2 linked regions of the Arabidopsis thaliana genome follow. The protein of the gene in region 2 interacts with the protein of the main gene of each other region in a pairwise test. Each region holds a gene or a part of one and is shown on either strand. Other genes may lie near its edges.

Region 1 (5,409 bases), on a different chromosome or scaffold from region 2:
ATTGCCTTGTACGCTTCTCTCCAATTCTTTATCTCTCTTTCATCTTTCCCAATCCTGTTTTTCATAATCATCATCTTAAGCTATCCCTTAATCATAATAATAATCTTCAAGAGAAACAAAACTAATTCATACTTTCTATGAAGAACATCCACAATTCTCCAATACTCCACGGTATCAAACGATGCCTCGGCTATTTTCGTCATCGTTTTAGCGTCTGGTGAAGAAGGATCACCATTTGTTACTTCTTCTACTAACCTAAGAATGAAAGAGTTAAATTTAACCATCACTAATGGAGTATTATCAATTAGCTAATTAATGAAGTTAATAGTCTACTCACAACTCAGCTTCGGTAACATCGGTGAGGACAAGTCTAGCAACATTGTACTTGTCTTGAATAAACGAAGAGGCTTGTTTCTTGAAATCTCCAAACCAAAGTGTCCCCATCATCAATTTTTCGAAATTGGATGGTCTATTCTGTCTCCACAATTCAACTTAAATGATAGCTTCAGACCAAACATGGGTAACCCTTATTTTTAGATTCAGACACTTCAGGAGACACTTGACGTCTATTAATAGATTTCAAGCATTTGACCAAATTTGAACTAATATAAACAAAGTACTTGTGTTACAAGTTACATATACCACTTTATAAAATTCTATGAAGAACTATAAACACATAAAGTGGGAGACAGTTTTACATTGTTTACACATTTTCAGATTCTTCCAAACTCCGATCCGCAAGCTTTCTTGAGTGACTCATTTCCGCTTTCCGGAACCGATAGTAAGCATATCGAAGCTTCTCAGGCCGTCATCACGCCCAAGCCTTGCAGATAACTTAGTTTCTTGCACCGGTTGAATCTTTTGGGCACTGCTTGAAAAAAGTTTACTTGAGCGGTTCTCACTCAGCTCACCTGATGAGCCAGGTTGGCTGCTAGACATCACTGCCATCTTTGTAGCAATCTCATTTCGGGTTTTTTCAGACACTTGCTGTGCATTGCAACAAACATCAAAATGATTCTCATGATTGATACCAACCGGAAAACTTTAAAGTCATCTACACAACAGAAAGATAGCAAACAGAAAACTAACCACTTCTTTGGAAGCATCATCAGAAAAAATGTGCTTCGGGCGAATGCCATGACTCGGTACATTTCGTCTAGCGAATGCTTCAACTGCACCTGAGAATCTTTCTCGTAGATCCTGCCCCACTACACAAAAATAGGAAATCAACTTCTGAGTTTATACTTCAACCATTTCAGCGTAAGATATGTCTACTATCTGCAGGATGTAAAATAATGTTATACCTATAGGCTTTTCATTTCGTTCTGCAGATGGTCCTGGAGGGTCTAGAGCTGGTTTAGGATTTGGCTGATAGAAATGAGACACAATATAATACAAACATGAGATTTTCAGAGTATTTTACGGTTTCTAAAAGTTTCTTCATCATCATATGTTGATGCAAAAAAAAAACACTAACCCTTGGTTTTGAAATAGAGCCACTCTGAGGATATTTCAAGATTGTCCAATCAAACACATAGTCAAACTGATAACCTGAAGGCATTAACAATTGATGTAATTCATGAGCGGTTTAATAGAGAGGTGAAGGAGACAGTCAGACAGAATACAGTAGAGGTTTCTAACCTTCCCGAATAAAAAGGTCCCTGAAAAGTCTTTTCAGATATGAATAATCTGGTTTATCCTCAAACCTCAATGAACGGCAGTAATGGAAATATGATGTGAACTCGGATGGATATGACTTGCAAAGAACCTGCAAACAGCAAAATCATATTTATCGAAAAGTTTAAGAAAAGCTAAACATCGTCTTTTCGCAATACAAAAACACTATTGTAGATATATGACGTACCTCTACGGGAGTAAGCATCTTCTTTTCACTTATCTTCTCGTATTTCTGTTTCTTAGTACCAGCTTTTAGACCTTGCCATGGTAAACTGAGACAAGAAGTTGTATTCCGTCTCAAGTTTAAGGATCTCATGTTTCTTAAAGATTTCACTATTAATACACAACCAAGATAGTTTCCTACCTTCCTCGTATAAAATACATCAGAACATAACCAAGAGACTCCAGATCATCTCGTCTACTTTGCTCTGCAAGAAGATATAAGAAATGTTTCAAAAGAAGGAAAATAGTAGCTTAACGGTTACTGCACAAATATAGAATGAAAGCTATTCTAATGTGTGACATGGAAACATTTCTCACCAATGCCAAGGTGTGTGTTGACACTTGCATACCTAGCAGTTCCAGTCAGATTCTTATTTTCCCTATAAAAAAAGTTTCATGAAGAGTGCATATAGTAAATTACCAAGCATAAGACCTGAATACATCAATACTTGCCTACATTAGTTTCTAATGAAGCACAAACAAAATAACCAACAAGGAAGTATTCTAACCTGTAAGGTATATGCTTGTGTGTCTGAAGATCTCTATACTTTTTAGCAAGCCCATAATCAATAATGTACACCTGAGGTTGAAATCCAAAACTCGTCACACCAGACTCGATGCTAAGAACAATCATACGACATACTAAAGACGAAACTAGAAAGCCTACTTGGTTTGCTTTGCGACCGAGACCCATCAAAAAGTTATCCGGTTTAATATCACGGTGAAGAAATCCTCGAGAGTGCATGTACTCAACTCTGTTTATCTAAAGTAATACTCAAAAGAGCTAAAACATTAGCAATGATCCCGCAACCGAACATTAACCCGATATCAAGAACTCGAAAGAGTATGTATACTTACTAACTGATCAGCAAGCATTAGAACAGTTTTCAAAGAAAAACTCCGAGTGCAATAGTTGAACAAGTCTTCCAAGCTTGGACCAAGAAGGTCAATAGCCATACAATTGTAGTTACCCTCAACACCGAACCATTTGATATGCGGAACACCCGCTAGTCAAAAGAAAACCCAAAGAACTTAGACCAATGGAAACATAAACATCAAGTGAAATGAGCTGAGTAATGAAAAGTGAAAACTCACTCCCTCCTTGAAGAAGCATGTATACTTTTGATTCATAATGGAGCTGAGGATGCTTTGTCTTCACAGGTTCCTACCAACAAAGAAATGTATAAGAACAGATCAACAGCTATATTATAGAGAACAAAAACAAAAGAATCAATAAGATGTTCATACTCAACAAAAGCTAGTCTAAAGAAAACTAAAGAACTTAAAACTTATGACCTCAGATACAAGTATAGTGTGACAACATAGTTTCAAGATTCACTAATAGTGGAAAACTGAAAATTGAATATGTAACATACCAGCTTAAGAGCAACTTCTTCTCCAGTTTGAACATTAATCCCTTCGAATCACACATACCAAAGTGAATCAACATCAAAATTCACACTAATTACCAACAAAGAACCAAAAAAAAAAAAAAAAAAAAAAAAACTGATTGATTTTTTATATACCAATATAAAGTTCACCGAATGATCCACTACCAATCTTCCTACCTAACTTGAACTTGCCACCGATTACATGATCCATCGTTTCAATACCAATAAATACTACTTACAGAGCCAAATACGATTTATCAAACGGTTAATGACTCAATATAACATTCTCATCAATACAAAATTGTAGAACGAAGCAAACCAAACGAAAGAATTTTCTGAGGAGTTTGTATATTTCTGAGGATAAACTTGAAGAGATAGTTTGATGACCGACTAAACAAGTAGAGGAGATGAATGAGAAAACAGAGACAGATGGTTTTGACGGATGTTATTTATTTATCTCATTCTTCTTTATACACATAATAATTAATAACATTTTTTAAGTCACGGGAAAGGGAAAATAAACGGATACAGATAAAAATAATTATTGTTAAATAATATTTTAGTAATTTACTTTCCCACTCATTTTTTTTATATATCAAATTACTTTCTCACCCTATTATATATTATTCACCCAAAAACAAAAACCTTAAAAAAATTGTCACTATATTCTTAATTTTCTCTCACACTATGATCATTGGATGTTTTAGCTTCTTATCATAGTGATGCAAATTTCATTAAAAAAAAAAATCTATATTTTTACCTATTTTTTCTTTTATGTATATATTTATAAACCAAATCCACTCTATATCCACTCTCCCTTTTTTTCTGTCGAGCAAAAAAAAAAAGATATCTACTCTATTCAAAATATATTTCTAGGACTTGCTGAATTTAATATTCATGGATGGCTGCCAAAGTTTCTTGAATGTTTTTGCTTTCTTTAGAAAATTGCTAAATCATGACCATCGACGTAGAACCAAGCACAACCAAATTCAAGGAAAAGACAAGACAAAGAAAACTAAAAGCAAAGTAAGCTTTGTGTTACCGACTTCTCAAATGCCAACAATGTTTAAAACAGAGAGTTTGATGATTAGCACAACTAATCCTTTGCTTTTCTTCGCAGACTAAATTTATGGCAAGTTGCACCTTTGGAAATGTTAAGTATAGGAAAAGCAAAGCAAACAATATTGGCAAGAATAGTGAAAAAAGGATCATGGACAAACAATTGATCGAGAAATCGTAAGACAAAAAAAACAGTCCAAATATAAACGATCCAAGAAATATAATACCTATTTTATGTATACACTAAATTTCGGGGTTTTTTACCACTACGGTAAAAATATGAACTATATCACCAATTGACATTGCAATAAAAAAAAATAGCAATAATTTAGTGGTATTAAAAAAAAAAACTGACTTACAATCAAATCCATTCTGTTGGTTTTTATATATAGTGAACATATTTTATAATAGTATAACGACTAGTCGATTTTCCACTACATAGAAAATGAATGTTCATAGTGCCAAAAAGGGATCCAATGGCCATGATTTATTATGGGCAATGAATAATAATGTGAAAATTTTGTATGCATGGGTCAGCTTCTGTCTGTTGTTGTTGTATACACAACAGATCATATATATTTATGTCCAAACATTCCATATATTGTTTGTTTAATAAATACAAAAAAAAACTCATGCAAATTCCACTTTACTTTTAAAACAATACTTTATTGTTAGGTCTATTTCCACATGATTTGTTCTAATTTTTCCTAATTATAAGAAAATTATAGAGATAGAAAAATATATAAATTGGTTGAACACTACAATAAGTGTAATGAAACATATGTTCCCTATGCGACGTCGTTTCTGTCTCTGAACAAAAGATGAAGTCAAAAAAGTTTCACACTTCATTATTACCAATAATCTCCACAAGAACAGTTTCCACGGTTGAAATGGTGGAATCTGCTATTATCCCTAACGATAATCTCTCTTTCCGTGATCTTCGAGATAAACTTGATTGCGACATGACAATCCGTGCATATCCTTATATTCTTAGTGACTCTAATTGTCGTGCCAGGTTCTGTGTTGATGATACCAAAGGCAACAGCCAATCTCTCACTGT
Region 2 (4,383 bases):
CTTAATTTATATATAGTTAGTTTTTCATGGATGCATCATTTATATATTGTGTTTAAACTTCACATATTAGGTGTTGTTATCTTAAGCTTAATTCATGTCTCTTCTCTTAAACTTAGCGAAACAGTTTTTTGTTTTTGTTTTCCTTCTCTTTTGACTCAGTTATCTATTGATATTCAAGAGTATCGATCTGTATATTCTTAAACAAGAGGTATTTGTGATTTAGATTTTGTAAGAGATTCTTGGTAGAAAAAAAGTTTGAGATCCAATTATGTTTCAGGACAAGTCCTCAAGATCTTTTAAAATGTAGCAGAGACATTCTTTGGAGAAATCTGCAGAAGCTTTCTTCGTTTTCTTTCCAAAGGTTCATGAAGATGACCAACAGTGGAACTCTCGAGCCAGAGGCATGAGAGAAACTCGTACATTTTCCCGATCATCACTCTCCAAGCGTTTTGTATATATTCAAGAATTGAGCTCTATCATTCACAAGTTGTATATTAGATTATAATTTCCAAAATCACTCAGAAACTTATATAGGCATATCATTTTAAGTGATAAGATCCTCTGAAACGTTTAGACAAAATAATTTTGAGCCATCAGTATGATTCTAACACACACACACGGAACACACTCACACTATATAGTTAAACCTACTATACTACAGCTCTTTCCTCAAAAAATGTTTTATCAAGAGAGACTCTGTGTCTGATTCAGAAGGATTCAGTCCAACCCCATGCATTCGCCGAATGTTGCTGAAACCCGCCTCTGCTTCTCCCTCTCCCATTCCTCCATCGACAATCCTCCACTCGTTCTCCTCCATGTCGCCCTTCTCCTCTCTTTCTCCACCCTCTGTTCTCTCTTCCTTGATCCCTACCATTCCAATTCTCAACCTTCTTGTAGTTGAAGCTGTTGTTGTTGCAGTTTTTCTGATCCCAAGTTTCAGCTTTGAAGTTGTTGTTATGATCCCAAGAATCAGTGTTGGTGTTGTTGTTGTTATGATCCCAAGTTTCAGTTTTCTCCTTTATCCCCCAAGAATCTTCATTCCATCCATCATATTTCTGATCACCCCATGAGTTTTCTGGTTTACCCTTTCCAACATTCTCCTCGTTAATCCCTTCAGCGTCACCCCAACCAGTTCCCCAACCAAGCCCGCCATACTGTCCAGATAAAACCAAAGCATCGAGTATCACAACATGCTCTTGTTCTTCTGTTAAAGGGTCTGGACCACGTTCAAGGTCAAGTATCAACTCATTGTCAACTTCAGCATCCCAATCAACATCATCAATGTAAACATCAGGATCAGGCAAAGATAAGTCACAAGTTAAACCATTTATCTCTGCCCAGAAACGAGATTTAGCGTTCTTGAATGCGTCTTCACCAGCTGAGTCGTCCCATTGGACCACTCTATCGTATATGTGCATAAACCGCTTGGCCTCTACAACTTTCCACCATGGAACTGAACCAATCACAGCACAAAAATCCTTCTCCCACGCTGGAACAGAGATCTTGCAATTAGCTGCAAAAAAACATAAGAATCCAAGAGTTAGAAATTCTGATCACAGGATGAAGAATAACTTACAGATCAAGCAAAAGCTACAAACAATAAACTTGTCAAGAATCAGAGGGTTAAGAATCAAAAGTTCATTAACCTAAAATACATAGAAGAGATTAAAGTTCATATATTTCTACTGTACATGCAGGAATTAGTATATAGAAGGAAACATAAGTAAATTAAGATTAAAAAAAACTCACAAACCTAACAAAGATAGAGTCAATTAGTATTACAAATTCTCTAATTTCACTAACCTAAAATACATAGAAGAGATTAAAAGACCGAACATTGCTTAACGAACACAAACCCTAATTAAGAACACAAAAGAGGAAAACCCAATGAGAAACACATCAAGGAACTCGATTTGCAAGCGACGAAAGGTTATACATAATTGAACAACTCAAAATCACAAATTTAAGAAAGAAAAAAAACAGAGAGGAGAGAACAGAGATCATACCAAGAGGTGGCTTTGATGATGATTGCGTCATCGTCGTCCCTCGTTGACGACTATAATTATTGCTGTTGTTGTTTCTGGGTTTTTGTCTTCTCCAATTACTCATAATGAACCGACAAAGATTGAATTTTTTTCAAGCAGACAATGAAAATACCTTCCAAATCAGGAAGATTTAATGAACAAAATCCCTAATTTCGACGAGAAATGGCGAAGATAATCAGAGAGAAAGGTTGTTGTTTCTTTTAGAGCTCTCTGCAACGAAACAGATGATTTATAAGAAGATGAGGTGAAGAAAAATCAAAGAACACAGAGATTTCTCTCTAGAAATTTCCTTTTTCATTCTTTTTTTTTTGTCGTTTCCTTTTTCATTCTTAATTTCGAATTTTTCAGGTGAAAATAAAAAAGTAAAGAAAGCGTTTTAATATTTATTTCCTTTTTGTTTTAGGCAAAATATTGATATTAATAAAAAGAGGAATTTTCGATACGTTGCCTCGTTTTGCCTGATTCTAGTTGATTAAATATTAAATAATAATGTTTTTTAATAATATAAAATAAAATAAAAATTCTGACATATTTTCTCAGATCTCGTTCTATCAAATATTTTTCTTGAATTTATCACTATCAATAATTATTATTGAATATATCTATCTAAATCACAGACTAACTAGGAGCTAGATTATGAAACTCTATATATACACACACATAGGCAACAAATTCTCTCATCCTTCTCTTTGTCTAAAACCAACAAACAAATCTCTCAAACTTCTCTAACAATGTCTACGACCAAAGCATTATCGCTTCTTGTGTTTATACTCTTCGTGTCCCTTGTTCATTCATCGGATCAATGTCCTATCAACTCTATCTACCAATTCGGTGACTCCATCTCCGACACTGGAAACTTAATCCGCAACGGCCCTGTTGGAGCCAGATCTTCTCACGCCGCTAATTATCCATACGGTCAAACATACTTTCACCAAGCCACCGGTCGTCTATCTAACGGACTGCTAATGATCGATTACTTGGCACGCAGGCTTCATCTCCCACTCCTAAACCCTTACCTCAACGGGAACACAACGTCTTTGTTAACTTCGGAGTTTCCGGAAGCACAGCACTCAACAGCTCTTTCTTCTCCGAGAGAAATCTCCACGTTCCGGCAACAAACACTCCTCTCTCCATGCAGCTTGCTTGGTTCAAGGGTCATCTACGTTCCACGTGTCACGGCTCTTCTTCGGATTGCTTGAAGCACTCTCTTTTCATGGTCGGTGAGATAGGAGGCAACGACTACAACTACGGTTTCTTCCAAGGCAAACCAATGGAAGAAATCAGAAGCTACATCCCTCACGTGGTTGGAGCCATCACAGCCGCAGCTAGAGAGGTGATCCGTGCTGGTGCGGTTAACGTGGTCGTCCCGGGAAACTTTCCAGTGGGATGTTTTCCGATTTACTTGACGTCTTTTCCCGTGAAAGATACAAAAGATTACGACGACAACGGTTGCTTGACGCATCTCAACGAATTCGCAATGGATCACAATAACCAACTCCAAGAAGCTATAGCTTCTTTGAGAAAAGAGTTTCCAGACGTGGCTATAGTATACGGAGATTACTACAATGCGTTTCAATACGTTCTACGAAGTGAAAGATTCGACAAGAGTGTAGCTTTGAAATCGTGTTGCGGGACCGGTGGAGCTTACAACTACGACGGAAAGAGGCCATACGGAGCAGTGGGAGTTCCGGTGTGTCAGAATCCACACAAGTTCATAAGTTGGGACGGAGTGCACTTGACTCAAAAGGCTTATAGATTCATGTCTAAGTTCTTGAACAATCAGATTCTTTCACAGATCAAGTGTACTAGGGCTTAATTACGAGCGTTATTTTTTAGTCCCTCCTCGATTTTTTGTTAAGTTATAAATCTCTACTATTTGTAATAATATCTTACATCCTTAGATTTTATTGATTTTTTAAGATATGTTTTTTTTTTTTTTGAACAACAGATTTTTTAAAATATGTTAGCATCCTTTTTTACTTATGAAGATCATATAAATCGTAAGTCCAATTTCTACTAGACAATCTTATTTTAAATGCATACCTAACTGCAACCTCAAATTTCTCAATTGCATTAACAAAAGTGACAAATGACATTCCTAGAACAAAAGAAAACAATTATGTTCATGCCACAAAAGAGAAAAAAAAAAAAAGAACAATATTTCAGAATTTAATCTCGAATCGAATATAGAGAAAAACACAATTTGAAAGAAAGAAAAATCTTCGTCGCTTGTCAAAAAAAAAAAAAAACGAAATCTGTCCCGTAGTTTATAATTTTGACCGTTCGATTATCCCTTAAATCTTGTCCGTCGTCAGATGAAACCAGAGAGGGGATGTCA

What was found. The genes of interacting proteins can lie anywhere in the genome.
Region 1: the proteins of AT5G03990 (region 2) and ckl10 interact in a two-hybrid assay, tested with the Arabidopsis thaliana proteins (one large-scale study listed by BioGRID).

What each region holds. Positions count from the first base shown.
Region 1 is NC_003074.8:8,349,139-8,354,547, reverse strand, and holds ckl10 (casein kinase I-like 10), read right to left. Parts: upstream 3,746-5,409; 5' UTR 3,502-3,745; coding exon 3,426-3,501; intron 3,317-3,425; coding exon 3,276-3,316; intron 3,065-3,275; coding exon 2,995-3,064; intron 2,907-2,994; coding exon 2,758-2,906; intron 2,663-2,757; coding exon 2,567-2,662; intron 2,480-2,566; coding exon 2,409-2,479; intron 2,280-2,408; coding exon 2,218-2,279; intron 2,106-2,217; coding exon 2,042-2,105; intron 1,950-2,041; coding exon 1,865-1,949; intron 1,769-1,864; coding exon 1,642-1,768; intron 1,552-1,641; coding exon 1,478-1,551; intron 1,369-1,477; coding exon 1,305-1,368; intron 1,209-1,304; coding exon 1,090-1,208; intron 988-1,089; coding exon 757-987; 3' UTR 527-756; downstream 1-526. Other genes in the region: AT3G23350 (ENTH/VHS family protein), read right to left, coding at 1-54, 133-255, 338-447; AT3G23330 (Tetratricopeptide repeat (TPR)-like superfamily protein), read right to left, coding at 5,201-5,409. UniProt on the Arabidopsis thaliana protein: Casein kinases are operationally defined by their preferential utilization of acidic proteins such as caseins as substrates. It can phosphorylate a large number of proteins.
Region 2 is NC_003076.8:1,073,683-1,078,065, reverse strand, and holds AT5G03990 (FK506-binding-like protein), read right to left. Parts: upstream 2,396-4,383; 5' UTR 2,110-2,395; coding exon 2,007-2,109; exon of another isoform or gene 1,804-2,006; intron 1,514-1,803; coding exon 708-1,513; 3' UTR 517-707; downstream 1-516. Other genes in the region: AT5G03995 (uncharacterized protein), read left to right, coding at 311-505; AT5G03980 (SGNH hydrolase-type esterase superfamily protein), read left to right, coding at 2,777-2,920, 3,034-3,861.